Linked DNA regions of Anolis sagrei. The protein of the gene in region 3 interacts with the protein of the main gene of each other region in a pairwise test. Links are inferred from orthologs where the notes say so. Each region holds a gene or a part of one and is shown on either strand. Other genes may lie near its edges. The genes, in order: PPIF, TOX4, BANP and CEP76.

What was found.
Region 1: the proteins of BANP (region 3) and PPIF interact in binary tests that used the Homo sapiens proteins (3 or more experiments, as listed by UniProt). The two-hybrid records come from large-scale screens. The link is inferred for Anolis sagrei from reciprocal best matches to the Homo sapiens genes BANP and PPIF.
Region 2: the proteins of BANP (region 3) and TOX4 interact in binary tests that used the Homo sapiens proteins (3 or more experiments, as listed by UniProt). The two-hybrid records come from large-scale screens. The link is inferred for Anolis sagrei from reciprocal best matches to the Homo sapiens genes BANP and TOX4.
Region 4: the proteins of BANP (region 3) and CEP76 interact in binary tests that used the Homo sapiens proteins (3 or more experiments, as listed by UniProt). The two-hybrid records come from large-scale screens. The link is inferred for Anolis sagrei from reciprocal best matches to the Homo sapiens genes BANP and CEP76.

Annotation. Positions count from the first base shown.
Region 1 is NC_090023.1:153,128,674-153,135,516, forward strand, and holds the start of PPIF (peptidyl-prolyl cis-trans isomerase F, mitochondrial), read left to right. Parts: upstream 1-3,833; 5' UTR 3,834-3,956; coding exon 3,957-4,136; intron 4,137-6,843. UniProt on the Homo sapiens protein: PPIase that catalyzes the cis-trans isomerization of proline imidic peptide bonds in oligopeptides and may therefore assist protein folding. Involved in regulation of the mitochondrial permeability transition pore (mPTP).
Region 2 is NC_090026.1:10,955,376-10,962,799, reverse strand, and holds the start of TOX4 (TOX high mobility group box family member 4), read left to right. Parts: upstream 1-4,411; 5' UTR 4,412-4,556; coding exon 4,557-4,562; intron 4,563-7,424. Other genes in the region: RAB2B (ras-related protein Rab-2B), read right to left, coding at 3,761-3,806. UniProt on the Homo sapiens protein: Transcription factor that modulates cell fate reprogramming from the somatic state to the pluripotent and neuronal fate. In liver, controls the expression of hormone-regulated gluconeogenic genes such as G6PC1 and PCK1.
Region 3 is NC_090028.1:25,809,850-25,817,063, reverse strand, and holds the start of BANP (protein BANP), read right to left. Parts: upstream 3,022-7,214; 5' UTR 2,903-3,021; intron 1-2,902. UniProt on the Homo sapiens protein: Controls V(D)J recombination during T-cell development by repressing T-cell receptor (TCR) beta enhancer function. Binds to scaffold/matrix attachment region beta (S/MARbeta), an ATC-rich DNA sequence located upstream of the TCR beta enhancer.
Region 4 is NC_090024.1:66,286,374-66,294,069, forward strand, and holds the start of CEP76 (centrosomal protein of 76 kDa), read right to left. Parts: upstream 3,018-7,696; 5' UTR 2,669-3,017; coding exon 2,606-2,668; intron 1,159-2,605; coding exon 1,003-1,158; intron 1-1,002. Other genes in the region: PSMG2 (proteasome assembly chaperone 2), read left to right, coding at 3,183-3,242, 6,606-6,777. UniProt on the Homo sapiens protein: Centrosomal protein involved in regulation of centriole duplication. Required to limit centriole duplication to once per cell cycle by preventing centriole reduplication.

The DNA.
Region 1 (6,843 bases), on a different chromosome or scaffold from region 3:
CGACCCCTCTTCCTTTTTCCTTCCATTTTCCCCAGCATAATTGTCTTCTCTAAGCTTTCCTTTCTTCTCATGATGTGGCCAAAGTACTTCATCTTTGCCTCTACTATGCGTCCCTCCAGTGAGCAGTTGGGCTTTATTTCCTGAAGTATGGACTGGCTGGATCTTCTCACGGTCCAAGCAGGATATACTTTAGTTTAAATACTGTGGTAAAGCTTCTACTTACTCTGCTTATACACATTTACCAACCCTCACAAGTACCACTTGTCCATGGGTTCAGAGGAGGCCAGAGGGAAAGGAGATCCAAGCAGCAGGCACTGAGGCGACCAAGGGGGCTCTTCACATCTTTCTGAGAGGCAACATAGAATCATAGAGTTGGAAGAGACCTCATGGGCCATCCAGTCCAACGCCCTGCCAAGAAGCAGGAATATTGCAATCAAAGCACCCGGCAGATGGCCATCCAGCCTCTGTTTGAAAGCTTCCAAATAAGGAGCCTCCACCACACTCCAGAGCAGAGAGTTCCACTGCTGAACGGCTCTCACAGTCAGGAAGGTCTTCCTCATGTTCAGGTGGAATCTCCTTTCTTGTAGTTTGAAGCCATTGTTCCATGTCCTAGCCTCCAAGGAAGCAGAAAACAAGCTTGCTCCCTCCTCCTTGTAACTTCCTCTCACATATTTATACATGGCTATCATGTCTCCTATCAGCCTTCTCTTCTTCAGGCTAAACATGCCCAGCTCTTTTAGCCACTCGTCATAGGGCTTGTTCTCCAGACCCTTGATCATTTTAGTCGCCCTCCTCTGCACACATTCCAGCTTGTCAACATCTCTCTTCAATTGTGGTGCCACAATATTCCAGGTGTGGTCTAAACAAGCCGGAATAGAGCGGTAGCATGACTTCCCTGGATCTAGACACTATGCTCCTATTTATGCAGGCCAAAATCCCATTGGCTTTTTCCCCCCGCCCCATGACATTATTGGCTCATGTTTAACTTGTTGTCCACGAGGACTCCAAGATCTTTTTCACATTTACTGCTCTCAAGCCAGGCGTCCCCCATTCTGTATCTTTGCATTTCGTTTTTTCTGCCTAAGTGGAGTATCTTGCATTTGTCCCTGTTGAATTTCATTTTGTTAGTTTTGGCCCATCTCTCAATCTGTCAAGATTGTTTTGAATTCTGCTCCTGTCCTCTGGAGTATTGGTGTTGTCTGCAAACTTAATGATCATGCCTTCTAACCCTTCATCTGGGGATCACAACCAGACACAGTGAAGACATCTGCCCTTGCACTATGCTACTCTGCTGATGAGTATGCATGCCCAGTGTGGAACACATCTCACCACACTAAAACAGTAGATGTGGCTCTTAATGAGACATGCCGCATTATCATGGGGTGTCTGCGCCCTACACCACTGGAGAAATTACACTGCTTAGCTGGGGGAAGTAGCAGCCAATAGTGAAAGGACCAAGGAAGAGACATCTCCAGCTCATCCCCTGTTTGGGTATCAACCAGCACGTCAATGACTTAAATCTAGAAATAGTTTTCTAAAATCTACAGAGACACTCGCTGGAACACCTCAGCAAGCGAGAGTCCAAAAGTGACAGGCTCAAACCCAGGACCTCAACCAATGGCTGATACCAAATGAGAGACTCCCCCCTGGGCACACAGAAGACTGGGAGACTTCGAAGGCGCTGAACAGACTGCGCTCTGGCACCACGAGATACAGAGCCAACCTCAAGAAATGGGGCCACAAAGTGGAATCCACGACATGCGAGTGTGGAGAAGAGCAAACCACAGACCATCTACTGCAATGCACCCTGAGCCCTGCCACATGCACAATGGAGGACCTTCTTGCAGTAACACCAGAAGCACTCCAAGTGGCCAGCTACTGGTCAAAGGATATTTAATCAACTACCAAGCTCACACATTTTGTATTTGTCTGTTTGTTTGTTTTGTTCTGTTAGAAATGTAATACAATTGACTGGTTGCCCTGACACGACAAATAAAAATACCCTCCATCTAAGTCAGTGGTTCTCAACCTGGGGGTTGTGACCCCCAGGGTGGTCATCTGGCCATTTCGGAGGGGTCGCGAGTCCGCCTCCGTTGGCCCCACCCCATTCGGCGTGGACGCGAGGCGGGCAAGGGGTCCTCAGCACGAGGCCTGGCCTCGCGCAAAGCCCCCTCGCCCGCCTCGAGCTTTCACCAACGTCGGAACCCCTGAGCGGATCGCAAGGGGGGTGTCAGATGAGTCACCAAAGACCATCTGAAAACACGGTATTTTCTGTTGACCATGGGGCTTCTGTGTGGTAAGTTTGGCTCAATTCTATCATTGGTGAATTCAGAATACTCTGACTGCAGGTGAACTGTAAATCCCAGCAACTATAGCTCCCAAATGTCAAGGTCTATTTTCACCAAACTACACCACTGTTCACGTTTGGCCATATTGAGCATTCATGCCAAGTTTGGTCCAGATCGATCAGTTCGAGTCCACAGTGCTCCTCTGGATGTAGGTGAACTACAACTCCAAAACGCAATGCCCATCAAATCATTCCAGTATTTTCTATTAGTAATGAGAGTTCTGTATGCCAAGTTTAGTTCAATTTCATCATTAGTGGAGTTCAGAATGCTCTTTGAGTGTAGGTGAACTATAAATCCCATCAACTACAACTCCCAAATGACAAAATCTCTCCCCCCCCCCCCCACCCTACCAGTATTCAAATTTGGGCCTATCGGGCATTTGTGCCCAATTTGGTTCAATGAATGAAAATACAACCTGCATATCAGATATTGACATTACGATTCATAACAGGAGCAACATTACAATTATGAAGTAGCAATGAAAATAATATTATGGTTGGGGGTCACCACAACAAGAGGAACTGTATTAAGGGGTCACAGCATTAGGAAGGTTGAGAACCACTGATCTAAGTCACTAATAAAGATGTTGAACAGGACTGACCCCACTGCCCTGAACTCCCCAGAGGAGGAAGCAGGGTCTCTCTGCTTCTCAGCAGAGTAAACAAGTAAGTACCTTGTCGATGGCTTTCATGGCTGGAATCACTGGGTTGTTGTAGGTTTTTTTCGGGCTATATGGCCATGTTCTAGAGCAGGGGTCCACAAACTTTTTAAAGAGAGGGCCAGGTCATAGTTCCTCAAACTGTTGGAGGGCCGGATTATAATTTGGAAAAAAAAAATGAATTCCTATGCAAACTGCACACATCTTATTTGTAGTGCAAAAAACACTTCAGAACAATACAATACAATAAAAAAGAACAATTTTAAGAAATATAAACCATTGTATTTCATTGGGAAGTGTGGGCCTGCTTTTGGTTGATGAGATAGGATTGTTGTTGTTGTTGTGTGCTTTCAAGTCATTTCAGACTTAGGTTGACCCTGAGCGAGGGCTGAGTAAATGACCTTGGAGGGCCATATCCGGCTCCCGGGCCGTAGTTTGAGGACCCCTGTTCTAGAGGCATTCTCTCCTGACGTTTTGCCTGCACGTATGGCAAGCATCCTCAGAGGTTGTGAGGTGAGGTCACAACCTCTGAAGATGCTTGCCATAGATGCAGGCGAAACGTCAGGAGAGAATGCCTCTAGAACATGGCCATATAGCTCGAAAAAACCTACAACAACCCAACTACCTTCATCACAACTGGGGCCTTCTCCTCCCAGAAGAAAGCCGACTCAGTGCGTTATCACAGTAGAGCTGAGTGGGGATTGTAGTTGAGTGAGACCCAGACCCTTAGAGAGGCCCCTCGCAGGAGATGCCTGTGGGGAAGGCCCTCTCGCGCGCCGTCCAAACGCCCGCCTCGTGACGTCACGGCCACGCGCCGTCGCCGAAGGGAGGCGGGGAGGAGGGCTTATAAAAGAGGCCTGAAGCGCGAGGCCGGCTTTCTCAGCGCGCTTGAGAGAGGGACGCGGGAAAGGACGCTTCCTCTCAGGTCTCTCTGTCTTCTGCCCGCCGCCATGCTGGCCCTGCGCTCCGCCCGCAGTCGCCTCCTCCTCCTCCCGCTGCTCCGCTCCGCCACCCGGGAGTGCAGCGACAGCAGCAGCAGCAGCCGCCGCGGCGAGGACGACGACGACAACCCCCTGGTCTTCCTGGACGTGGGTGCCGACAACCAGCCCCTGGGCCGCGTCGTCTTCGAGGTGCGCGCGCCTTCTCTTTGCCTCTCCTCAGGTGCATCTACACCAGGTATGAGCAAGCTTGGGCCTTCCAGGTGGTTTGGACTTCAACTCCCACAATTCCTAACAGCCGGTAGGCTGTTAGGAATTGTGGGAGTTGAAGTCCAAAACACCTGGAGGGCCCAAGCTTGCCCATACCCTGGTCCACACTATGGAATGACTTGCTTTGCCCTGGCCTTATGCTGTGCTATCCTGGGAGTAGTTGCTAGGTCTCCAGCCTTCTCTGCCCCAGAGGGCTAGCCCCTCAATGAAATACAACTCCACACAGAGCCATGGCAACTCAAGTGGTGTCAAAACCGCATTGATTCCACAGGGTATTCGCACCCTCCCTCCTCTCCAGGCGCCTTTCCTCTGGGCGTCCTCTCTCTTCAAGGTGCCCTTCAAAGGTGCCATTGGAAACCATAACAATGTTCTGAATCAGGGATTTATTGAACTTTATTTATTTACAATATAACTAGCCGCCCCCTGCCACGCATTGCTGTGGCCCAGTCTGGTGATCTTGAAAATAAAGTAATAAGAAGTTGTTGGTTTCTAATATATGTAATTTCTTTATACTTGTGGGTAAACAATGTTTCTTGTTTCTTTGTCAGTGTTGATGCAGAGGTTGTCTGGTTTGCCTACTTTGGAACATGCAACATATATTTGCCCTTTCAAATCTCTAGTACTATATCTGTCATATACATATATATGTATGTGTGTGAATCTCATATATATGTGTGTGTGTGTGTGTGTGTGTGTGTATGGCTGGGTGACTTTGTGTCAGGAGGGCTTTGATTATATTTTCTTGCTCTGGTGAAGGGAGTTGGAGTGGATGGTCTTAAGGCAGCATTTCCCAACCTGGGGGTCGTGAGGGGGTGTCAGAAGGGTTACTAAAGACCCCCAGAAACTATAAATCCCAGTCAAGGTCTATTTCTGCCTAAACACCCATCTGTGTTCATATTTGGACATATGGAGTATTCATGCCAAGTTTGGTCTAGATTTTTCAGTTGTTTGAGTCCACAGTGCCCTCTGCATGTAGGTGAACTACAACTCCAAAACTCAAGATCAATGCCCACCAAACCCTTCTAACGTTTTCTGTTGGTCATGGGTGTTCTGTGTGCCAAGTTTGGTTCGATTCCATCGTTGGTGGAGTTCACAATGCTCTTTCATTGCAGGGAACTATAAATCCCAGCAACTACAACTCCAAAATGACAAAATCGATTTTTTGAGTGATGGTAACTCCTTGGGTTAATAGGTGTCTTATGGTCAAATTTGGCAGCAATTCGTCCAGTGGATATTGAGTTACTATGTCACTCAAAACGAACAGAGCATTTATATATATATATATATATATATATATATATATATATATATACTAGCTGTCCCCTGCCACGTGTTGCTGTGGCCCAGTCTGTTGATCTGGAAAATAATGAGAAAGTGTTGGTTTCTAATATATGTTATTACTTTATGCTTGTGGGTAAACAGTATTTCTTGCTGTTTCTTTGTCGGTTTTGATGTGGAGAGTGTCTGGTTTGTCCACCCTGGAACATGCAACATATCATTGTCCTTCTTTAAGGGTCCCTTTCAAATCTATGATACTATATCTGTGAGTGTGTGAATTATATCTATCTATATCTATGGCTGGATGGCTCTTTGTCAGGAGGACTTTGATTATGTGTTCTTGCCCTGGTGAAGGGAGTTGGATTGGATGGCCTTAAGTATTTTCTGTTTGTCATGGGGTTTCTGTGTGGGAAGTTTGCCCCAATTCTGTCGTTCATAGGGTTCAGAATGCTCTTTGATTATAAGTGAACTGTGAATCCCAGTGACTACAACTCCCAAATGTCAAGGTCTATTTCCCCCAAACTCCATCTGTGTTCATATTTGGATGTATTGAGTGCTTGTGCCAAGTTTGGTCCAGATCCATCATTGTTTGAGTCCACAGTGCTCTCTGAATGTAGGTGAAGTACAACTTCCAAACTCAAGGTCAATGCCCACCAAACCCTTCCAGTATTTTCTGTTGGTCATGGGAGTTCTGTTTGCCAAGTTTGGTTCAATTCCATTGTTGAAGGAGTTCAGAATGCTCTTTGATTGTAGGTGAACTATAAATCCCAGCAAGTACAACTCCCAAATGACAAAATCATGATTTTTTGAGTGATGGTCACTCCTTGTGTTGTGGGACGTTTTGTTGCCAAATTTGGTGTGATTTCATTCATTGGTTCTTTTGTTTTTAAGGTACTCATTATTCACAGATATAGATATAATAATAATAAAACTTTATTTTTAACTTGCCCTCTCTCCCCAAAGGGACTCAGGGTGGCTTCCATAAACAAAAATGGCAAACATTAAATGCTGCGTACAACAATAAAATGAAAACATTTAAACATAGAATCGAATCAAAAAGCCTTTGGCTATAAAAACATAAATCAGTCAGTCTGGCAACATACATAATACAATTAAAGAGTTAAAATCTGTCTAAAGATATAAAAATATAGCTCTTTGGTAAATTAAAATAGTCAGTCAGTTTTGTCCCCACCAGTTGTTCCCACCAGCCGTGCTTGAGACCGGGGTGGGACTGAGAGGAGGACCCCCTCCGCTGATCACAGAATCCAAACAGATTTGTAGGTGGGGATGCCGGTTGTCAAATACTCTGGGCCCAAATGGTTTATGAAATTTATAGCCTCTCTTTCCATAG
Region 2 (7,424 bases), on a different chromosome or scaffold from region 3:
AAGCATGTTTAACTTGGGAGGAAAGAAGGCCAAGAGGAAACACGACAGCCATGTTTAAACATCTGAAAGTAGGTCACCTTGAAAAGAGGTGACATCTCCCCTCTCCTCAGGGCAGGTTTGTTTTCTGCTGGTCTATAAACTAGGACACAATGGAGCAATGGCTTCAAATTACAGGAAAAGAGATCCCACCTAAACCTTAGGAAGAACTTCCTGGCAGGAAGAGCTGTTTGGCAGTGGAATATCCTGCTGCCTGAGAGTGTGGTGGAGTCACCTTCTCTGGAGGTAGATGGCCATTTGTCAAGAGGGCTTTGATGGTGTTTCCCACCTGGCAGAATAGGTGTAGACTGGGTGACCCTTGGGGTCTCTTTACATTCTGATTCTGTTAACTGCTCATATATTACATTTTGGGTTTGATTAATTGTGAACAGTGCGATTTCTTTTTGTGCTTTTGAACAGATGTTTGAATGTTTCTTATGAGTGAAAAGGTGCTTTGAACAGAAAACTTCAACCTCTTTCTTATTATTTCCTCTCTGATATATGGAAGTAAAAAGTTTACTGCAGGCCTGCACAACCAAGAGGAGATTCCATCTGAACATGAGGAAGAACTTCCTGACTGTGAGAGCCGTTCAGCAGTGGAACTCTCTGCCTTGGAGTGTGGTGGAGGCTCCTTCTTTGGAAGTTTTTAAACAGAGGCTGGATGGCCATCTGTCAGGGGTGATTTGAATGCAATATTCCTGCTTCTTGGCAGAATGGGGTTGGACTGGATGGCCCATGAGGTCTCTTCCAACTCTTTGATTCTATGATTCTAGGGCTCTTCAGGCATTTGGGACTCCACCTCTTAGAAGCCCAGAGTGTCCAATGATCAGGAATTCTGGGAGGTGAAGTGCACATTTATACATATCCTGGTCTACATACTGGAATCATACAGTCCTGTTGGTTGTCGAAAGTCAATTCATATTTAAATGCTTTTTAGCTGCTAGTTTAATTATGTGAAGATGGGTTTCTGTGTTTTCTGGGCTGTACTATGGCCATGTTCCAGAAGCATTCTCTCCTGATGTTTCACCCACATCTATGGAAGGCATCCTCAGAGGTTCTGAGGTCTGCTGGAAACTCAACAACCTCTGAGGATGCCTGCCATAGATGTGAGCGAAATGTCAGGAAAGAATGCTTCTGGAATATGGCCATAGAGCCAGGAAAACTCACAGCAACCCAGTGATTCCAGCCATGAAAGCCTTCGACATATGTGGTAAATGTTTATGAGGTATCATATTTAGTTTATTTAAGTCATTTAATTTTGATAATGTTTGTTCGTTTGGATTAGCTATTATAAGTTTTATATTGCGATTCTTTTGTTTATCTGTTTGTGTGTTGTTGAAAAAGATCTTGGAGTCCTCATGGACAGCAAGTTAAACATGAGCCAACAACGTCATGCGGCGGCAAAAAAAGCCAATGAGATTTTGGCCTGCATCAATAGGAGCATAGTGACTAGATCCAGGGAAGTCATGCTACCCCTCTATTCTGCCTTGGTTAGACCACATCTCAAATACTGTGTCTAATTCTGGGCACCACAATTGAAGAGAGATATTGACAAGCTGGAATGTGTCCAGAGAAGGGCGACTAAAATGATCAAGGGTCTGGAGAACAAGCCCTATGAGGAGTGGCTTAAAGAGCTAGGCATGTTTTAGCCTGAAGAAGAGAAGACTGAGAGGAGATAGCCATGTATAAATATGTGAGGGGAAGTCATAGGGAGGAGGGAGAAAGCTTTTTTTCTGCTGCCCTGAAGACTAGGACGTGGAGCAATGGCTTCAAACTACAGGAAACTAACTGTGAGAGCTGTTCAGCAGTGGAAATCTCTACCCCAAAGTGTGGTGGAAGCTCCATCTTTGGAGGATTTTAAACAGAGGCTGGATGGGTTGGGAGTGCTTTGAACGTGACTGTCCTGCTTTTTGGCAAGGGGCTGGACTGGATGTCCCAGGAGGTCTCTTCCAACTCTGTGATTCTGATTCTCTGTTGGCACTGAACGTTTGCCTCTTTTATTAGAAACCACCCTGAGTCCCCCAGGAGAGATAAGGCGGGTGATAAATCAAGTATTATTTCTACTGAAGTCCAAAACAGCCGAAAGGCCACAGGCTATGCAGGCCTGGTTTACTGTAACTAAATATCAGAAAATAAAAAAGTTGAAGCAGTGTGTGTGTGTGTGTGGGGGGGGGGGGGGGAGATATGAACTTTGTGATGAAGCATTTAAAAAAAAAACTTGCGAAGGCCAAATCCTTCTAAAACAGGCATGGGTCAACTTGGGCCCTGTGATATTATGATAGCTGGGTCTGGAAGCTCTGAGCTCCTGCAAAGGCAGCTGTGAATAAGGGAAGAGAGGGGGCAGAGTGAGAGCGGGGAGAGCAAAGGAAGGATGGAAAGGAGGGGACGTTTAGTGTAAGGGTTAGGGAAAGATTTAGGGTTTGGGTTACGGTTAGGGTAAGGTTTAGGGTTAGGGTAAGGGTTTGAGTAAGGGGTTAGGCTTAGGCTTATGGTATGGTTAGGGTTTCACCATTAAAGAACTGGTGATAGTATGATAGCTGGGTCTGGAAGCTCCAAGCGTTATGGAGATGCTGCAAAGAGGGCTGTGAATAAGGGAAGAGAGGAGGCGGAGTGAGAGCGGGGAATGCAAAGTAAGGATAGAAAGGAGGGGATGCTTAGTGTAAGGGTTAGGGCAAGATTTAGGGTTATGATTAGGGTACGGTTTAGGGTTTGGGTTAGGTTTAGGCTATGGTAAGGCTTTGGGTAAGGGATTAGGCTTAGGCTTACCATACGGTTCAGGGTTAGGGTTTCACCATTAAAGAACAGGTGATGGTATGATAGCTGGGTCCGGAAGCTCCGAGCGTTACGGAGATGCAGCAAAGGCGATTGTGAATAAGGGAAGGGGGGGGGGGGGTGGAGAGAGAATGCTGCAATGCTGGTTTGGGATTATGATTAGGGTACGGTTTTGTGTTTGGTTTCATGTTAGGGTAAGGTTTAGGCTAAGGAAAGGGTTTGGATAAGGGATTAGGTTTACTGTATGGTTCTGGGTTAGGGTTTCACCATTAAAGAACTGGTGGTAGTATGATAGCTGGGTCCGGAAGCACCGAGCGTTACGGAGATGTCGCAAAGGTGGTTGTGAATAAAGGAAGGGGGGTGGGGAGAGCGAAGGAAGGATAGAAAGAAGGGGACGCTTAGGGTAATGGTTTGGGTTAGTTAGGGTATGGTTTAGGGATTGGGTTTTCGTAAGGTCAGGCTTAGGGTAAGGGGTTAGGCTTAGGGTACAGGTTAGGGTAAAGTTTAGGGTTTGGGTAAGGGGTTAGGCTTAGGGTACAGGTTAGGGTAAAGTTTAGGGTTTAGGTAAGGGGTTAGGCTTAGGGTACAGGTTAGGGTAAAGTTTAGAGTTAGGCTTAGGGTACAGGTTAGGGTAAGGTGTTAGGCTCAGGATACAGGTTAAGGTTTGGGTAACAGGTTAGGCTTACTGTATGGTTCAGAGTAAGGGTTTCACCATTAAAGAACTCTTACATCCCTTCTATATTTGTCTCCGGCATGGCTTACATTAGGTAAGTCTCTCTTGTGCAAACAGCACTCCCGATACGTAATGCTCGGAGCTTCCGGACCCAGCTATCATACTATTACCTTGGGCCCTTGGGGTGTTTTGGACTTCAACTCCCACCATTCCTAACAGCCTCGGGCCCTTTCCTTTCCCCCCTCAGCCGCTTAAGCAGGCCCTCCGCCCCTCCCATACCCGAGTCCCCGATGACGATGTATTTGAACAGGTAGGCGTAGGCCATGGCTGCCGGGAGCCCCTGAGAACGAGGCGGGAGGGGGCCTCCACGGGCCGCTTTCGCTCACGCCACGGGAACTCTGCCTACTCCTCTCGCGCTTCCTATTTCAAAGCCGTGGCTCTGACCCGCCCTCTTCCTTCCCGGCGCTTGGCTTCTTCCCTTTCCGGTGCCTTCTCCTTCATGACGGCAGCCCCTGGTGGACTTCCGGCGGCACTCTAGGGCATCTCTTCTGGGCCGCCTCTATTCCTCCTTGTGTTGACTCCGCCCACTCCTTTGGTCTTCTTCGGACTGGCTGCTCTATTGCGTCACATCCGGGGGGAGAGGGGAAAGGGAACGCCGAGCTCCAGCCTCGAAGCCGTTACTTAGACTCTTTGACGTCACATCCGGGAAATGCCGAAAGCGCTCTCCTGCCTGAGAATGGCAGCGCGCGCGGCCCTCCGGCCTCCCTTTCTCCCTCAGTCGCCTTAACGGTCCGAACGAGTGAGGAAGGCAGAGCGAGGCCGCGACTCCCGCAGGGAAACACGGCCTCCCTCCTCTCACCGCAGGGAAGGAAGAGTTAAGGCCGCCACAGGAAAGGGCCGTGTGCAAAACGTCGGGCGGAAGTGACGTTCCCTGCCGGCCTTCGTTTGGGTGGGCGGAAGAGGCGGAAGAGGCTTCCGTTTCCGGGAGAGGCACTGGAGGGGGAGGAGGAGGGGGAGAGAGAGTCGAGCGGGGTCTCCCCGCTCTCCCTGCTCTGGAGCTTCCTTCGCCGCGGCCATGGAGGTGAGGGGGCCTCGGGGAAGGGGAGAGGGCCTCCCAGGGGCCGTTTGAGTGTCTGTCTCGTTACTGCCTCCACCTATGCACTCCTATGGACTCCTCTTCCTTGAAACCAGCATGGGTGGAAGCCCCACGCATTCATCCATTCATTCAGACAGGGCGAATCCAGTGAGGACGAATACAGGTTGACTATCCCTTGTCTGAAATGTATTTGGAATTTACTTCTAGTCCCTAACATTTCAGACAAGGGATAGTCAACCTTTATTCCTCCCCACTGGATTCGCCCTGTCTGAATGAATGCATGGGACCAGAAGTATTTGGAATTTCATAGATCGATAAATCGTAAATATGCATACATACATATCTTACGGACTTGGGAATTCATAAGGCTTTCCCCCGACATGTAAGGGATCAGGATTCCTCAGTTCATCTTGATTACTTTTCATCTTTAGGTTATTGTGGGTTTTTCCGGGCTATATGGCCATGTTCTAGAGGCATTTTCTCCTGATGTTTCGCCTGCGTCTATGGCAAGCATCCTCAGAGATAGTGAGGTCTGTTGGAATTAGGAAAATGGGTTAATATATCTGTGGAATGACTGGGGTGGGGCAAAGAGCTCTTCTCTGCTGGAATCAAGGAACATGGAAGGCACTGCAGACTATTTCAACCAGAGAAATCAGCCATAGCAGAGCACCTGATGAACCAGCCTGGACACAGCATATTATTTGAGAACACAGAAATGCTGGACCACTCCAACAACCACCATGTCAGACTACACAGAGAAGCCATTGAAATCTACAAGGATGTATTTGGAATTTACTTCTGGTCCCTAACATTTCAGACAAGGGATGTTGTTGTTCATTCGTTCAGTCGTCTCCGACTCTTCGTGACCTCCTGGACCAGCCCACGCCAGAGCTCCCTGTCGGCTGTCACCACCCCCAGCTCCTTCAAGGTCAGTCCAGTCACTTCAAGGATGCCATCCATCCATCTTGCCCTTGGTTGGCCCCTCTTCCTTTTGCCTTCCACTTTCCCCAGCATAATTGTCTTCTCTAGGCTTTGCTGTCTCCTCATGATGTGGCCAAAGTACTTCAACTTTGTCTCTAGTATCCTTTCCTCCAATGAGCAGTCGGGCTTTATTTCCTGGAGGATGGACTGGTTGGATCTTCTCGCAGTCCAAGGCACTCTCAGAACTTTCCTCCAGCACCACAGCTCTAAAGCATCTATCTTCCTTCGCTCAGCCTTCCCTAAGGTCCAGCTCTCACATCCGTAGGTTTCTACAGGGAATACCATGGCTTTGACTAGGCGGATCTTTGTTGCCAGTGTGATGTCTCTACTCTTTACTATTTTATCGAGACTGGACATTGCTCTCCTCCCAAGAAGTAAGCGTCTTCTGATTTCCTGGCCACAGTCTGCATCTGCAGTAATATTTGCACCTAGAAATACAAAGTCTGTCACGGCCTCCACATTTTCTCCCTCTATTTTCCAGTTGTCAATCATTCTTGCTGCCATAATCTTGGTTTTTTTGATGTTTAGCTGCAACCCAGCTTTTGCACTTTCTTCTTTCACCTTGATTAGAAGGCTCCTCAGCTCCTCCTCGCTTTTGGCCATCAGAGTGGTGTCATCTGCATATCTGAGGTTGTTAATGTTTCTTCCAGCAATTTTCACCCCAGCTTTGCATTCATCAAGCCCCGCACATCCTCGCATGATGTGTTCTGCATACAAGTTCAATAGGTTGGGTGAGAGTATGCAGCCTTGCCGTACGCCTTTCCCAATCTTGAACCAGTCTGTTGTTCCGTGGTCAGTTCTTACTGTTGCTACTTGGTCCTTGTACAGATTCCTCAGGAGAGAGACAAGGTGGCTTGGGATGCCCATCCCACCAAGAGCTTGCCACAATTTATTATGATCCACACAGTCAAAGGCCTTGACAAGGGATAGTCAACCTTTATTCCTCCCCACTGGATTCGCCCTGTCTGAATGAATGCATGGGACCAGAAGTATTTGGAATTTCATAGATCGATAAATCGTAAATATGCATACATACATATCTTATGGACTTGGGAATTCATAAGGTAAAGGTTTTCCCCTGCCATGTAGGGATCCGAGTTCCTCACTTCATCTTGATTACTTCTCATCTTCCTTGGAAACAGGTTCATATGGTAAAGGTAAAGGTTTCCCTTGACATTTAAGTCTAGTCGTGTCCGACTCTTGGTTGTTGGTGCTCATCTCCAATTTTTAGCCGAACAGCTGGTGTTGTCCGTAGACACCTCCAAGGTCATGTGGCCAGCATGACTGCATGGATCGCCGTTACTTCACTTCTTTGCTTCACTTCATTTTATTTCTTAATTAGTCGCTCTCCACCAAGGTGCTCCAAGCGACTTACAATTTAAAATAGCATTTCACAATATAAAACATTCAACATAAAAACCTTTAGCAGTGACTATTTGGCAAATTTGATCTGATTACTTAAATGCACAACCAAACAGCCAAGTCTTGGGTGCTTTTACAAAAGGTCCCAACTCCGACATTGCTCTAACATATGGAGGCAATGAGTTCCACAACATTGGAGAATAGATTGAAAAAGCTCTACCTTTCCGCAAGAGCGGTACTAATTGATCTACTCATATTTGCATGGTTTTGATCTGCTGGGTTGGCAGAAGCTGGGCCTAACAGCGGGAACTCTTGCCACTCCCCAGATTTAAACCTGCAACCTTTTGGTAAGCAAGTTCAGCAGCTCAGCGGTTTAACCCACTGTGCCACCTGGGGAATTTATATCTATACATAATAAGGTACTTTGGAGAACCAGAACACAGAACACAAAATCCAATGGGGCTCAGTACAGATAGAGCATGCACAGGCAAATTTCACCACCCC
Region 3 (7,214 bases):
GGAGGGAGGGAAGACAAAAGGGACAGAAGGAAGGAAGGAAGGAAAGAAGGAAGGAAGGAGAAAGAGAGGGAAGAGGGAAGGAAGGAAGAACGAAAGCGTGGAAGGGAAGGGAAGATGGAGGGAGAAAGTATTTATATACATTTTATATATATATAATAGCTTTTATATAATATATATAAATCACTATGTAACTGGAATTGCTTTATAAGATATTATGTGTGTGTAAAAAACACTATGTAACATAGGAATTGTTTTATAAGATATAAAACATATATCACTATGTAACACAGGAATTGTTTTATAACATATATATGTTATAGTGTTTTATATTATATATATATATAATATAGGTAAAGGTAAAGGTAGTCCCCTGACATTAAGTCCAATCATGTGTGGTGCTCATCTCCATTTCTAAACCGAAGAGCCAGCGCTGTCCGTAGACACCTCCAAGGTCATGTGGCCGGCATGACTGCATGAAGCACTGTTACCTTCCTGCCGGAGCGGTACCTATTGATCTACTCACATTTGCATGTTTTCGAACTGCTAGGTTGGCAGAAGCTAGGGCTGACAGCGGAAGCTCACGCCGCTCCCCAGAATCGAACCTGCGACCTTTCGATCAACAAGTTCAGCAGCTCAGTGCTTTAACCCACTGCGACACACGTTATAGTGTTTCATATTATATAAATATATATTATAGCATTATATATATGTGTGTGTGCTTGTTATTATTATTATTATTATTATTATTATAGTGATAGAATTGGATTTCATCCCAAACTGAAGCACTTTGACCCATCTGCTAAGCTGTTCCCAACTGCTCTTTGTGCAGGATTCTCACACAAATCACAACCTTAAAGACAAGGAGTCCAATCCTCCTTAACCTGAATTATCTTCTTCTCTATCCAGGATTCTCATGATTTTTCTTTGGATCACAACTTTTAACTCACAAATAAGACAAGATCTCGTTTTGCATGGGTTGTCATTTAACATTAAGACCCAGACATGTGATTTGAACAAAGTTTGGACAGGAAGTCTGAAATATTCTCGACCTTTATCCTCCAGATGTTTTTGGACTTCAATTGCAAGAAATGTTAACTATTGGTGATGTTGGTAGGCGCTTCTGGGAGCTGAAGTCCAAAATATATTGAGATATATTACCACCAACTGCCGCTCTGGGCCAGAGTGAAGAGAGGGAAGGCCAGGGGACAGTTCCATCTTGTCTCCTGTGTTATGCTAGTAATATAATATACTATATTGTATATACATATAATATTTACAATATTATAATGCAATACAATATAATACTACTAATAATATAATATAATTATATATTTTATATTACATGTAATATTACTAATAATATTACAATATAATGGTATAGTACAATATAGTAATATATAATACTGATATTGTACTATGCTAACAATATAATATATCAGTGGTTTTCAACCTTCTTAATGTCATGACCCCTTAATACAGTTTCTCATGTTGTGGTGACCCCCAAGCATAAAATTGTTATTGCTACTTCATATCTGCAACTTTGCTACTGCTATTATGTAAATATATGATATGCAGGATGTATTTTCATTCACTGGAGCAAATTTGAATACTGGTGGGGTTGGGGGGATTGATTTTGTCATTTGGGAGTTGTAGTTGCTAGGATTTATAGTTCACCTACAATCAAAGAGCTTTATGAACTCCACCAACAATGGAATTGAAACAAACTTGGCACATATAACTCCCATGACCAAGAGAAAATACTGGAAGGGTTTCGTGGGCATTGACCTTGAGTTTTGGAGGTGTAGTTCACCTACATCCAGAGTCCTCTGTGGACTCATAGAATCATAGAATCAAAGAGTTGGAAGAGATCTCATGGGCCATCCAGTCCAACCCCCCGCCAAGAAGCAGGAATATTGCATTCAAATTACCCCTGACAGATGGCCATCCAGCCTCTGTTTAAAAGCTTCCAAAGAAGGAGCCTCCACCACACTCCGGGGCAGAGAGTTCCACTGCTGAACGGCTCTCACAGTCAGGAAGTTCTTCCTCATGTTCAGATGGAATCTCCTCTCTTGTAGTTTGAAGCTCAAACATGGATTGATCTGGACAAAACATGAATACCGAATATGCCCAAATATGAACACTGGTGGAGTTTGGGGAAAATAGACGTTGACATTTGCGAGTTGTAGTTGCTGGGATTCATAGTTCACCTACAATCAGAGAATTATGAACCACACCAATGATAGAATTGGGTGAAACTTCCCACACAGAACCCCCATGACCAACAGAAAATGCTGATGGTCTTTGGCGACCCCTCTGAAACCCCCTTGCGACCCCCCCCCCCGCCAGGGGTCCCGACCCCCAGGTTGAGAACCACTGTAATATATTGTATGCATATATATAGCCGGTCTGATGTAGGAAAGATTGGGATATAAAAGTTTTAAATAAATAATATATCTTGTAAGCCGCTCTGAGTCCCCTTTGGGGTGTGAAGGATGGCATATAAATGTTGTAAATAAATAAATAAGTAAATAATAAATAGAAGGTAATTTTATACAATGCTTTGACTAATGTCGTCCGCCAGAAAGAATCTACACCGAAAAGTTAACCCAGTTTGAACTACAACTTGAATGGGAAAGGCTCGAGGCTTTCATTCCACTTTGTAGAAGTCCATCACCCCAACCCCAGCCCTAAGGGGGCGGGGCCATTGGAGCCAAGCCACGCCCCCTCATAAGCCCCGCCCACCCGCTCCCCCCCCCCTCTCTTTTCGGCCTAGTCTTTCTGAGGGAGAAAACCGGGCCTTTGCGGCGGTTCCGGCGCCGTGAGGAGAAACCCCGCCAGAGGAGGAGGCCCCGACCCGGCAGCTCCATCCTCAGCCGCCCGCCGCAGGAAGAAGCGAGGTTACCGTTTGCCTGGCCGAATTCTCGTGGTGTTTGGGAAATCGGGTGGCTCTGTGCGATAATGGCGTCCTTCCTCGCGAGAGATCCTCCAAGGAGAAAGCGACTGCGCAGGCGCACAGGCAAAGGGCGCGCGCGCTCGCTCTGCCTCCCTCCGCTGGGCTTCTCCTGGCGCAGGCGCAGTGGAAGCCTCCCACCACTCGCAGTCCCAGTGGTATGCCGGCCGCCGGACTACGGCTCCCAGAGAGCTTTGCGCGAAGGGTTGCTTCTTCGCGCCTTCTGGGGGTTGTAGGGCGAGAGAGGGAGGGCGCAGTGCGCGCTGGGAATTGAAGTCCTTAAACCCAAAGAGTGGCTCAGGCTTGCATCTTGACATTGCAACTGCAAGTGTTCCTCCAGATACAGCAAATACAGTACACACACACACATACACACACACACACATATATATATGTAAATATAATATTATACATACATATTATAATATATATACACAATGTATGTTATAATCTATATATATATATTATACATACATATTATAATATATAGAGAGAGTGTGTATATATTATACATACAAATTATAATATATATATAGAGAGAGTGTGTATTATACATACATATTATAATATATATATACATAATGTATGTTATAATCTATATATATATAATATTATAAATACATATTATAATATATAGAGAGAGTGTGTGTATATATTATACATACATATATATATACGTAATGTATGTTATAATCTATATATATACACACATACATACATATAATATATAGAGAGAGGGTGTGTATATATTTACATACATATATACATAATGTATGTTATAATTTATATATATAATATTATAAATACATATTATAATATATATAGAGTGTGTGTATATATATATATATTATATATATACACATAATGTATGTTATAATCTATATATATATACATATTATACATACATATAATATATAGAGAGAGTGTGTGTGTATATATATAATATTATAACATATATATACATAATGCCAGATGTTCAAGCTGGGTTTAGAAAAGGCAGAGGAACGAGAGACCAGATTGCCAATATCCGCTGGAGAATGGAGAAAGGCAAGGAGTTTCAGAAAAACATCTACTTCTGCTTCATTGACTACTCTAAAGCCTTTGACTGTGTGGATCATAATAAATTGTGGCAAGTTCTTAGTGGGATAGGCATACCAAGCCACCTTGTCTCTCTCCTGAGGAATCCGTACAAGGACCAAGTAGCAACAGTCAGAACTGACCACGGAACAACAGACTGGTTCAAGATTGGGAAAGGCGTACGGCAAGGCTGCATACTCTCACCCAACCTTTTTAACTTGTATGCAGAACACATCATGCGAGAATGTGCGGAGCTTGAGGAATCCAAAGCTGGGGTGAAAATTGCTGGAAGAAACATTAACAACCTCAGATATGCAGATGACACCACTCTGATGGCCGAAAGCGAGGAGGAGCTGAGGAGCCTTCTAATCAAGGTGAAAGAAAAAAGCGCAAAAGCCGGATTGCAGCTAAACGTCAAAAAAACCAAGATTATGGCAACAAGAATGATTGACAACTGGGAAATAGAGGGAGAAACCGTGGAGGCCGTGACAGACTTTGTATTTCTAGGTGCAAAGATTACTGCAGATGCAGACTGTGGCCAGGAAATCAGAAGACGCTTACTTCTTGGGAGGAGAGCAATGTCCAGTCTCGACAAAATAGTAAAGAGTAGAGACATCAGACTGGCAACAAAGATCCGCCTAGTCAAAGCCATGGTCTTCCCTGTAGTAACCTACGGATGTGAGAGCTGGACCTTAGGGAAGGCTGAGCGAAGGAAGATCGATGCTTTTGAGCTGTGGTGTTGGAGGAAAGTTCTGAGAGTGCCTTGGACTGCGAGAAGATCCAACCAGTCCATCCTCCAGGAAATAAAGCCTGACTGCTCACTGGAGGGAAAGATACTAGAGACAAAATTGAAATACTTTGGCCACATCATGAGGAGACAGGAAAGCCTAGAGAAGACAATTATGCTGGGGAAAGTGGAAGGCAAAAGGAAGAGGGGCCGACCAAGGGCAAGATGGATGGATGGCATCCTTGAAGTGACCGGACTGACCTTGAGGGAGCTGGGGGTGGTGACGGCCGACAGGGAGCTCTGGCGTGGGCTGGTCCATGAGGTCACGAAGAGTCGGAGACGACTGAACGAATGAACAACAACAACAACATGTTATAATCTATATTATATATAGATTATTTATATAAAATATAATATATATTATGTTATATAGGTATTATATTCAATAATATATTATACTATATATAAATTAAGTTATTTTAAAATTTATCATATATTATAATATAATGTATATTGTAATCTATATTATATATACAATATATAAAGTATAATATATGTTATGTTATAAAGGTATATATAAAGGTAAAGGTTGTCCCCTAACATTAAGTCCAGTCATGTCTGATTCTGGGGTGTGGTGCTCATCTCCATTACTAAACCGAAGATCTGTTGTCCATAGACACCTCCAAGGTCATGTGGCCAGCATGATTGCACGGAGCACCATTACCTTCCCGCCGGAGCAGTACCTATTGATCTACTCACATTTGCATGTTTTGAAAGTGCTAGGTTGGCAGAAGCAAGGGCTGACAGTGGAAGCTCACGCCGCTCCCCGGAATCAAACCTGCGACCTTTCGGTCAACAAGCTCAGCAGCTCAGTGCTTTAACCCACTGCACCACCGAGGGCCCATAGGTATATATATAAAATAATATATTATACTATATTTAAATTATTTTATTTAAAAATGTATCATATCATATAATATATATTATAATATATATAAATAATATGTTTTATATTATATTATATTATATTATATATATATATATATATAGACACACACACACGCACATGTTTGTTTGCATGCTGCAAGTCGCTTCTGGTTGCTTCTGGAGTGACAGAATCAGTTGTCTACGAAGATTTTGCCCAGGGGATGCCCAGATGTCTTGCAATCCTGCAAGGAGGCTTCTTTCATGTCCCCCTTAGAAAAATAGTTTTCTAAGATCTACATAGACACTCGCTGGAACACCCCAGCAAGCAAGAGTCCAAAAGTGGCAGGCTCAAACCCAGAACCTCAATTGTGAGGGCTCTCATTTGGCTGATACCAAATGAGAGACTCCCTCCTGGGCAGACAGAAAACTGGGCGACTTGGAAGGCGCTGAACAGACTGCGCTCTGGCACCACGAGATGCAAAGCCAACCTCAAGAAATGGGGCCACAAAGTGGAATCCACGACATGCGAGTGTGGAGAAGAGCAAACCACTGACTACCTGCTGCAATGCAACCTGAGCCCTGCCACATGCACAATGGAGGACCTCCTTGCGGCAACACCAGAGGCACTCCAAGCGGCCAGATACTGGTCAAAGGACATTTAATCAACTACCAAGCTTGCAAACTCTGTTTTGTCTGTTTGTTAAAAATTTGTTTAAAATGTAATACAATTGTCTGGTTGATACTGACACGATAAATAAATAAAATAAATAAATAACATGTTTGTTTCTTCTGTCAATGCTGTGTTATGATGGGATATTTTTTCTTGAATCAAAATAAAACGCACCATAGTAAACATCGTTTTTCTTCCTTGTTCATTTATATGCAGCCATCAAAGTTCATGGTACTTTATAAATCAAAAAACTAAATATACTTAGTATTTAGATAAGACCACTTTTAAAGAAGAACATCTGCACTGCCCTGGCTCGGTGATCTAGAATTCTGGGAGTTGTAGTTAGGTCAGGCACCAGCCAGCCCTCTTTGGCAGGGAAGACTGAAGACCTTGCCAAACTACAAATCTCAGGATCCCATAGCATTGAGCCCTCGTGGTTCAAGTGGATTCAAACTGCAGGACGGAACCGGAGTCCCATCCACACTGTCATATAATGCAATTTTAAATGGCAGTATATGACCAGTATAGGCACATATAATGCAATTCAAACTATATTGTATGGATTTGTGTTGATCATATCATGGCATTCCAAACTTCACTGTATGGATTGTCGAAGCCTTTCATGGCTGGAATCACTAGGTTCTTGTGGGTTTTTTTGGGCTAAGGGCCATGTTCTAGAGGCATTTCTCCTGACGTTTCGCCTGCATCTATGGCAAGCATCCTCACAACCTCTGAGGATGCTTGCCATAGATGCAGGCGAAACGTCAGGAGAAATGCCACTAAAACATGGCCCTATAGCCCGAAAAAACCCACAAGAACCTTCACTGTATGGCTTTACGTTGACCATATAATGCAATTTCAGA
Region 4 (7,696 bases), on a different chromosome or scaffold from region 3:
AAGCCTTATGTTGCAGTACTGTCATCTTGCAAATGACTGATTCTTTTGTGTGTGTGCTAAGAGAGGCATCTAGCAGTAATAATTTGAAACTCAAGATAGAATTTATGGGCATTTTGTGGTTGCAGAAATATAGCAATTTCAAATTAATTCCATTTTTTAAAAACACCTTACATAAAATGGTTAGCCAGCAAGGGGTTTAACCTGCATCCAGAGCTGCAATATCCCTAGATAGGATAGGAAGATAACTCACAAAGTGATGTTCCCTTTTCTGTCAAACTTAAAATGACCGTATATGTTTCCGTCACCAGACATGATTTTAAGTATTGCATGTGCGATTGTCTTTGAATTGAGTGACTTCTGATGTCAAATAAGTGCTTTCTTCTTATAACCTAATTCTATTTCAGGTTCGTCCCTCATGCAGCAACATATCCCTTGAGTGTATGGGTGAGTTAGAGGATGGAGGAAGATTCAGAAGTGAAGGCAATTGACTGGAGCAGATAGATCCAGCTCACCCTAACTTCCAGCAGATGACAACAAAGAAATTTACCTACGCAGTTTTGATCTATTAAAATTAACACTGCTCCACAATGAATCCAATCATAAATATTTTTGTACCAGGTTATCTGTATTATACACGAGAGCCCGGTGGTGCAGTGGGTTAAACCACTGAGCTGCTGAACTTGCTGACTGAAAAGTTGGTGGTTCAAATCCAGGGAATGGAGTGAGCTTCTGCTATTACCCCCAGCTTCTGCCAATCTAGCAGTTCGAAAACATGCAAATGTGAGTAGATCAATAGATACCGCTCCAGTTGGAAGGTAACGGTGCTCCAAGCAGTCATGCTGGCCACATGACCTTGGAGGTGTCTACAGACATCAGCTCTTCGGTTTAGAAAAGGAGATGAGTACCAACCCTCCCGAGTCGAACATGACTAGACCTTTACCTTATCTGTATTATGTAATCAATATCTGGTACCATTTCAGATGTTTTCTTCAAACTACTCACAGTTACAAAGCTGAGTTCTTTCATAACATCATTAATGATTCCTCTCCGTATCAGGGCTTTCATTAGATGTTGTTCTGAGAGTTGCTGGTGTTCAGGTGCCAGTTCTTCACGAATAGTCTCAGCAAGGACTTCTCGGACCCTGCTGTGGACATCCATCTATGAAGAAATAATAATACTAATAATAATATAGGTATATGTTTATATTACATGTAATATTATTAATAACATTACAATACAATGGTATAGTACAATATAGTAATAGTTAATATTGATATTGTACTATGCTAATAATATAATATATTGGACGTATGTATATCCTGTAAGCCGCTCTGAGTCCCCTTTGGGGTGAGAAGGGCAGCATATAAATGTTGTAAATAAATAAATAAGTACAGTGGGCCCTTGGTATCTGCTGGGGTTTGGTTCCAGGTCCTCCTGCGGATACCAAAAGTCATGGATGCTCAAGTCCCATGATATACAGTGGCATAATAAAGTGGTGTTCCTTATACAAAATGACAAAATCAAGGTCGGCGGTTTGGATTTTTTTGGAGGCGGGGGGAGTGTTTTTAAGCCATGGATGTTGGGAATCGAAGAATGCAGAATATGTGGGTATGAAGGTCCAACTGAATAAACGAAGGCAGGCAAACCAGCCTTGGTGTATAGTTGACTATTTCAGACCAAGCCAATTTCAGATTTAAACCAAAGATGGAGAGTATCAGGTTCGATTATTCCTGCTCATAAGCCATAGTTCAGTGGGATTCCCACTTTTGCTTATTTGCTTATTTTTTAATTCCACTGTTATTACGAGGGGTATTTTTTTAAGTAAGATCCGTTTTATTGTAGACACTAGTAGTTTGCGCGCATACCGCAACTAGCGCGTGCGTTGTGTACCGGCATGCCTCAGGAACAACTGTGCTCAGTTTCCGCTCTGTAGCTAACCTGTACGGTTCTGTTCTGTGCTTTAAAAATGTTTAAGACTATCAACTCACCCTCCGCATGTGAGGTTCGCTCAGTGATACGGTTTTTGCCAGCAAGGAACCTGCCTGTTGCAGAAATCCATCGACAGATTTGTGAAGTGTACGGTGATACTGTTATGAGTGAAAGCAAAGTGCGTAAGTGGGTACGACAATTCAAAGATGGCCGTGACAACGTCCATGATGAGGACCGTTCAGGTTCCTTGCTGACAAAAACCGTATCACATACGGCTGAGCACAGTTGTTCCCGAGGCATGCACGTGCTCATTGCGGTATGAGCGCGAACTACTAGTATCTACAACAAAACGGACCTTACTTTTAAAATACCCCTCGTATATACACCCAGCCTCTGCATCCATTGATTCAACCATCTGTAGCAGCCATCCCCAAACTGTGGACTTCCTATGGTGCAAGCATGGGCCAACTTGGGCCCTCCAGGTGTTTTGGACTTCAACTCTCAGAATTCCTAACAGCCTCAGCTTAAGCGGCTGAGGGGGGGGGGGGAGGAAAGGGCCTGAGGCTGTTAGGAATTCTGGGAGTTGAAGTCCAAAACACCTGGAGGGCCCAAGTTGGCCCAAGCCTGCTATAAAGGCTTTCAATGGGCATTTTCTCTTCCTCCTCCTCCTTCTCACCTTGGTCAGCTGCTGGTGAATGATCTGCTTGAGCTCTGAGGCTTTCCCGGGAGCCAAGGCCATGGCTCAGCAACTGTCCCAATTCCTTAGACTAAGTGGACACCAGACAGGCCTTCATCCCAGGCACCTCCAACCACAACACCACACTCCTCCGTTCTCCCGCGCGCTCAAACCGCCTATCCCGTCTCCCCCCTCCCAAGAGCACCCATTGGCTGGATCTCCAGCCAATCAGCAAACTCGGCCCCTCCCACAGCTAGCCATGCGCTTGCTCGGGCCTCAACCGCCTTTCAAAAAATAAAAGGTGTCTATCACAATTGCCTGATAGCAAGGCAATCGAGTCTTGTTAGGCAATTAATACCCGTACGGCAGAACAACAACAACAACAACAACAAAAATGTAATTTTCCTTCAAAGGAACTGTCGCTCGCCCGTTAACTGGCTGTCAGTAAGCGCAGATGGGGACAGGCACTGTGCAAGACACCTCTCCGAGGCGGTGAACAAGAAAGGCCCCTTGCTCTCGCTACCAAAGGGAACTCTTGTGTAGGCCTGCGGTGCGTCCAGTCAGCGTCTTGGATAGAATGTTCGTTCCCTGCGAGGGCCGCGCGCCCGCTGACTTCAAAGGCTGCACGCTGCTAATGGTAATGGACAGTTCCTTCCTTGCGCGGCGCGAGACGGCCGGAGAGAGCGCCCAACCCCCCGTTGCCCGGGCAACGCGCGAGCGGGCGCGTGGCATTGAGTCAGGCGTGGGAGGAGGAGGAGGAGGAGGAGGGAGGCAGTAGGAGGGGTCTCTACCTAAAATATGGAGGGAGGGAGTGTGTGTGTGCCCCTTTAAGGGCGCATCTACACTGTAGAATTTAAAGCAGTTTGACATTGCTATGGGATGACTGTAGAATTTAATGCAGTTTGACACCATGGCTCAGTGCTATGGGATGATGGGAGCTATAATTTTGGTGAGACTCCTGCAGTGGTTAGACTGGTTCTCAACCTGGGGTCCCCAGATGTTTTTGGCCTACAATTCCCAGAAATCCTAACAGCTGGTAAACTGGCTGGGATTTCTGGGAGTTGTAGGCCAAAAACATCTAGGGACCCACAGGTTGAGAACCACTGAGAGGATACCTCTTGTCTTTTGCTGAATGTAGCATTTGCGGGGTTTTCTTGCGAGGTCTATAGATAGTTTGTAGGTATATCTTCGAAGGCTTTCATGGCCGGAATCACTGGGTTGTTGTTTGTTTAGGGCTATAAAGCCCTAAACGACTCCGGCCCTGTTTACCTCTCCGAACGTATTCTCCCCTATGAATCATCAAGATTATTAAGATCGTCTGAAGAGGCCCTGCTCTCCGTCCCACCGGCCTCGCAAGCGCATCTGGTGGGGACGAGGGACAGGGCCTTCTCGGTGGTGGCCCCTCAACTCTGGAACTCTCTCACACTGGAGATCAGAACCGCCCCTTCTATCCTGACATTTAGGAAACAGGTGAAGACGTGGTTATGGAGACAGGCATTCGACTAGTGAGCCAATACCCTGAGATATGGATGGAGGATGATGAACAACGATTTTAGTGTGACGACTGACCATTGTAGTTATTGAATGTAATTGCTGTTTTAATGTTTTACTGTAATACGAATTATGATGTTTTATTGACTGTATGTGATATTATGGTCGGAAACCGGCCTGATTCCCTCAAGAGAGGTGAGAAGGTCGGTATACAAAACTTTTAAATAAATAAATAAATAAATAAATAAAATTTTCAGGCTGTATGGCCATGTTCCAGAAGCATTGTCTCCTGACGTTTCGCCCACATCTATGGCAGGTATCCTCAGAGGTTGTGAGGTTTGTTGGAAACTAGGAAAATTGGGTTTATATATCTGTGAAATGTCCAGGGTTGGGAGAAAGAACTCTTGTAGGGTGAGGCAGCATAACTTTCTTTTTTCAAAACTTAATAAAACCCATTGTATGAATCGGAATTTTTAAAATATATAATGTAGGCGAATACCTAAAGTTTTGTTTTACATAGTTTTGAAGATCAAATTAGGTAGGTGACGTCCTCCATTCTCCATACACCGAGTAAACCAAATCTTGTAGGGTCCTTGGATGGTTCACATAAACACGGGATTTCAAAAAAACCCATAGAAAAAAATCACAAGGGGCCAAATCTGGAGAACGGGCCGGCCACTCCAAATCCGCTCGAAAAGTAGGCCTCAATGGCAAAAGCACATTCCTCACTGCTCCAACGCATGATGGCGACTGAACTGTGTCAGGACAAAACTTTATACTCCCGCCTCTCAAACGAGACCACTAGCGCTCCGCTACGTCTTCAACCGACTGAATGGCACGCATTTTTTTAAAAGTATCTGTGGAAGGTCCAGGGTGGGAGAAAGAGCTCTTGTCTGTTGGAGGTAGGTGTGAATTTTCAATTGGCCACCTTGATTAGCATTTAATGGCCTAGAAGTTTCAAGTTTCAGGATTTATTTATTTCATATCAAAAGCATTGCATAAATTAGTGTAAAACTGATAAAAATAGAAGGAGCACAGGCAGCTAAACATCTTTTGACCAAAAACAGGCAACAGCAATGGCATTGTCTGTAGCCTCCAACAATTCTTCCTCTGTACATGAGGCAGGGCATAGTGGACAAGCATACAGGAGTGGAGTTGTCTGTAAGTTTCAGGAGAAACATCAGGAGAGAATGCTTATGGAACATGGCCATACAGCCCGAAAAACTTACAACAACCCAGTTTGTAGGTTTTCTTTATCAGGGTTCCTATGCGGTCAGTGGTTCCCTTGATGTATGTCAAGAATACATATGGACAAAAGGGATCCTCTCACCTCTGCAGGAGTCTACTATGCAGCTGTGGACAAGTCTACATAGGGACCACCAAATGCACCATTGCCCAAACACGAATAAAGGAACATGAAAGGCACTGTAGACGAATTCAACCAGAGAAGTCAGCCATAGCAGAGCACCTGATGAACCAACCTGGACACAGAATATCATTTGAGAACACAGAAATGCTGGACCACTCTAACAACTACCATGTCAGACTACACAGCGAAACCATTGAAATCCAAAAGCATGTGGACAATTTCAACAGAAAGGACGAAACCATGAAAATGAACAAAATCTGGCTACCAGTATTTTTTTAAAAGAACTCTAAAATCAGGACAGTAAATAAAGAGGAACACTCAAACAAGGGAATTCTAGACAGGAAACAATCAGCCAGCTAACACCTCCCAACAAAGGATTCCCTCAGGCAGCTAGCAGCCAGGCTTTGACGCTACAAGGCCATTAAATGATAATCAAGCTTCCAGTTGCAACATTCACACTTTCCTCAAACAGAGAAGAGTTCTTTCTCCAACCATGGACATTCCACAGATATATAAACCCCACTGTCCTAATTTCCAACAGACCTCACAACCTCTGAGGACACCTGCCATAGATGTGGGCAAAATGTCAGGGGAGAATGCTTCTGGAACATGGTAATACAACCTGAAAAGCTCACCACAACCTATGTGTAAGATTGCTAGCAAAACTATGTATATAATAATTGCTGAAGAATCCTGTCTCTTTGTGTTAAAAAGGATTTGATACCCTTTCGCCTCAGTTCGATTAAAAGGACAATTATCTGAACAAGCAGATACCATTTTTAAAATTGGTAAATAGCAGCCACATTACTTTTTTCTCCAAAACATTATAAAATATACTAATACAAACTGCTTTGAGTCTTCTTTGTGAGGTGTAAATAAACATAGTAATAATAATAATCTGAATGTGTACATTTTGCTATAAATTACTTTGGCATTACTTTACTATAGTATTGTGGTTTGACAGCTGAAATGTGTTAATACCACTACTGCTAATAATAATAACCTGCCCTATCTCCCCAAGGGGACTCAATAGAAATGGTTAATAATGTTCAGTGTTCAACTAACATGTTTTTTTAAATTTGAAAATCAGTCATTTTTTTCAGATGATGTAACTCGCATGCATCTGTTATGTCATTTCAGCCCGCGGTATCGGTGGGGAATGTTGGCCAGCTGGCTGTAGATCTAGTTATTTCCACCCTTGACATGTCTAAAGTTGGGTACTTTTATACTGATTGTCTTGTGCCAATGATTGGAAATAATCCATATGCAACAACAGAAGAGAATGCAACAGAGCTGTGTATAAATGCTGAAGGTAAGTACATTGAATGTAATGTTGGGTGCTAACTTGGGCTTGTTGTGTCTTCTCCAGAGAAACACCCTTCTTTTTAGAATGAATTTGAGCATTTTAACTCCTTGCTGTATAGAAATAGTATATGAGAAATAGTATCTGAAGTGAATTATCCCTGCTTTCCAGCACTAATTGATGTGGATATTACAGTTTTCAGCAACATTTCTCATTCAGATTGTATATATTAGCACACAATTCTTCCAAAGGGATAGTACATAATTGCTTATACTATTAATACCGAGAATCATACATTAAAATGGGAAGTGTATAAACATGCTTTTCTCCCTGTATAGTACAGATATTCCCTGTATAGTACAGATATTCAAATGGTCTTAATTGGATATTCCATGAAGTCTCAATAAAATACAGCTTAAGTATCCCTTATTCGAGCCCCCGGTGGCGCAGTGGGTTAAAGTGCTGAGCTGCTGACCTAAAGGTTGCAGGTTCGAATCCGGGGGGTGGTGTAAGCTTCCGCTGTCAGCCCCAGCTTCTGCCAACCTAGCAGTTCGAAAACATGCAAATGTGAGTAGATCAATAGGTACCGCTCTGGCAGGAAAGTAACGGCGTGCTATACAGTCATGCCAGCCACATGACCTTGGAGGTGTCTACGGACAACGCTGGCTCTTCGGCTTAAAAATAGAGATGAGCACCACTCCCCAGAGTCGGACACGACTGGACTTAATATTAGGGGAAAACCTTTACCTTTACCTTTTTTACAGGTATTCCAAAATTTTAAAAACCAGAAATATTTCTTGTCCCAAGCATTTTGGATAATGGATACACAATCTGCATTATCTAACCAGTAACAACATCATGAGTTTGTTCAGACTGTCGAGGTTAATTTGTAATCAGAAAGAAAGAAAAAGAAGAAGGTTTTATTCTT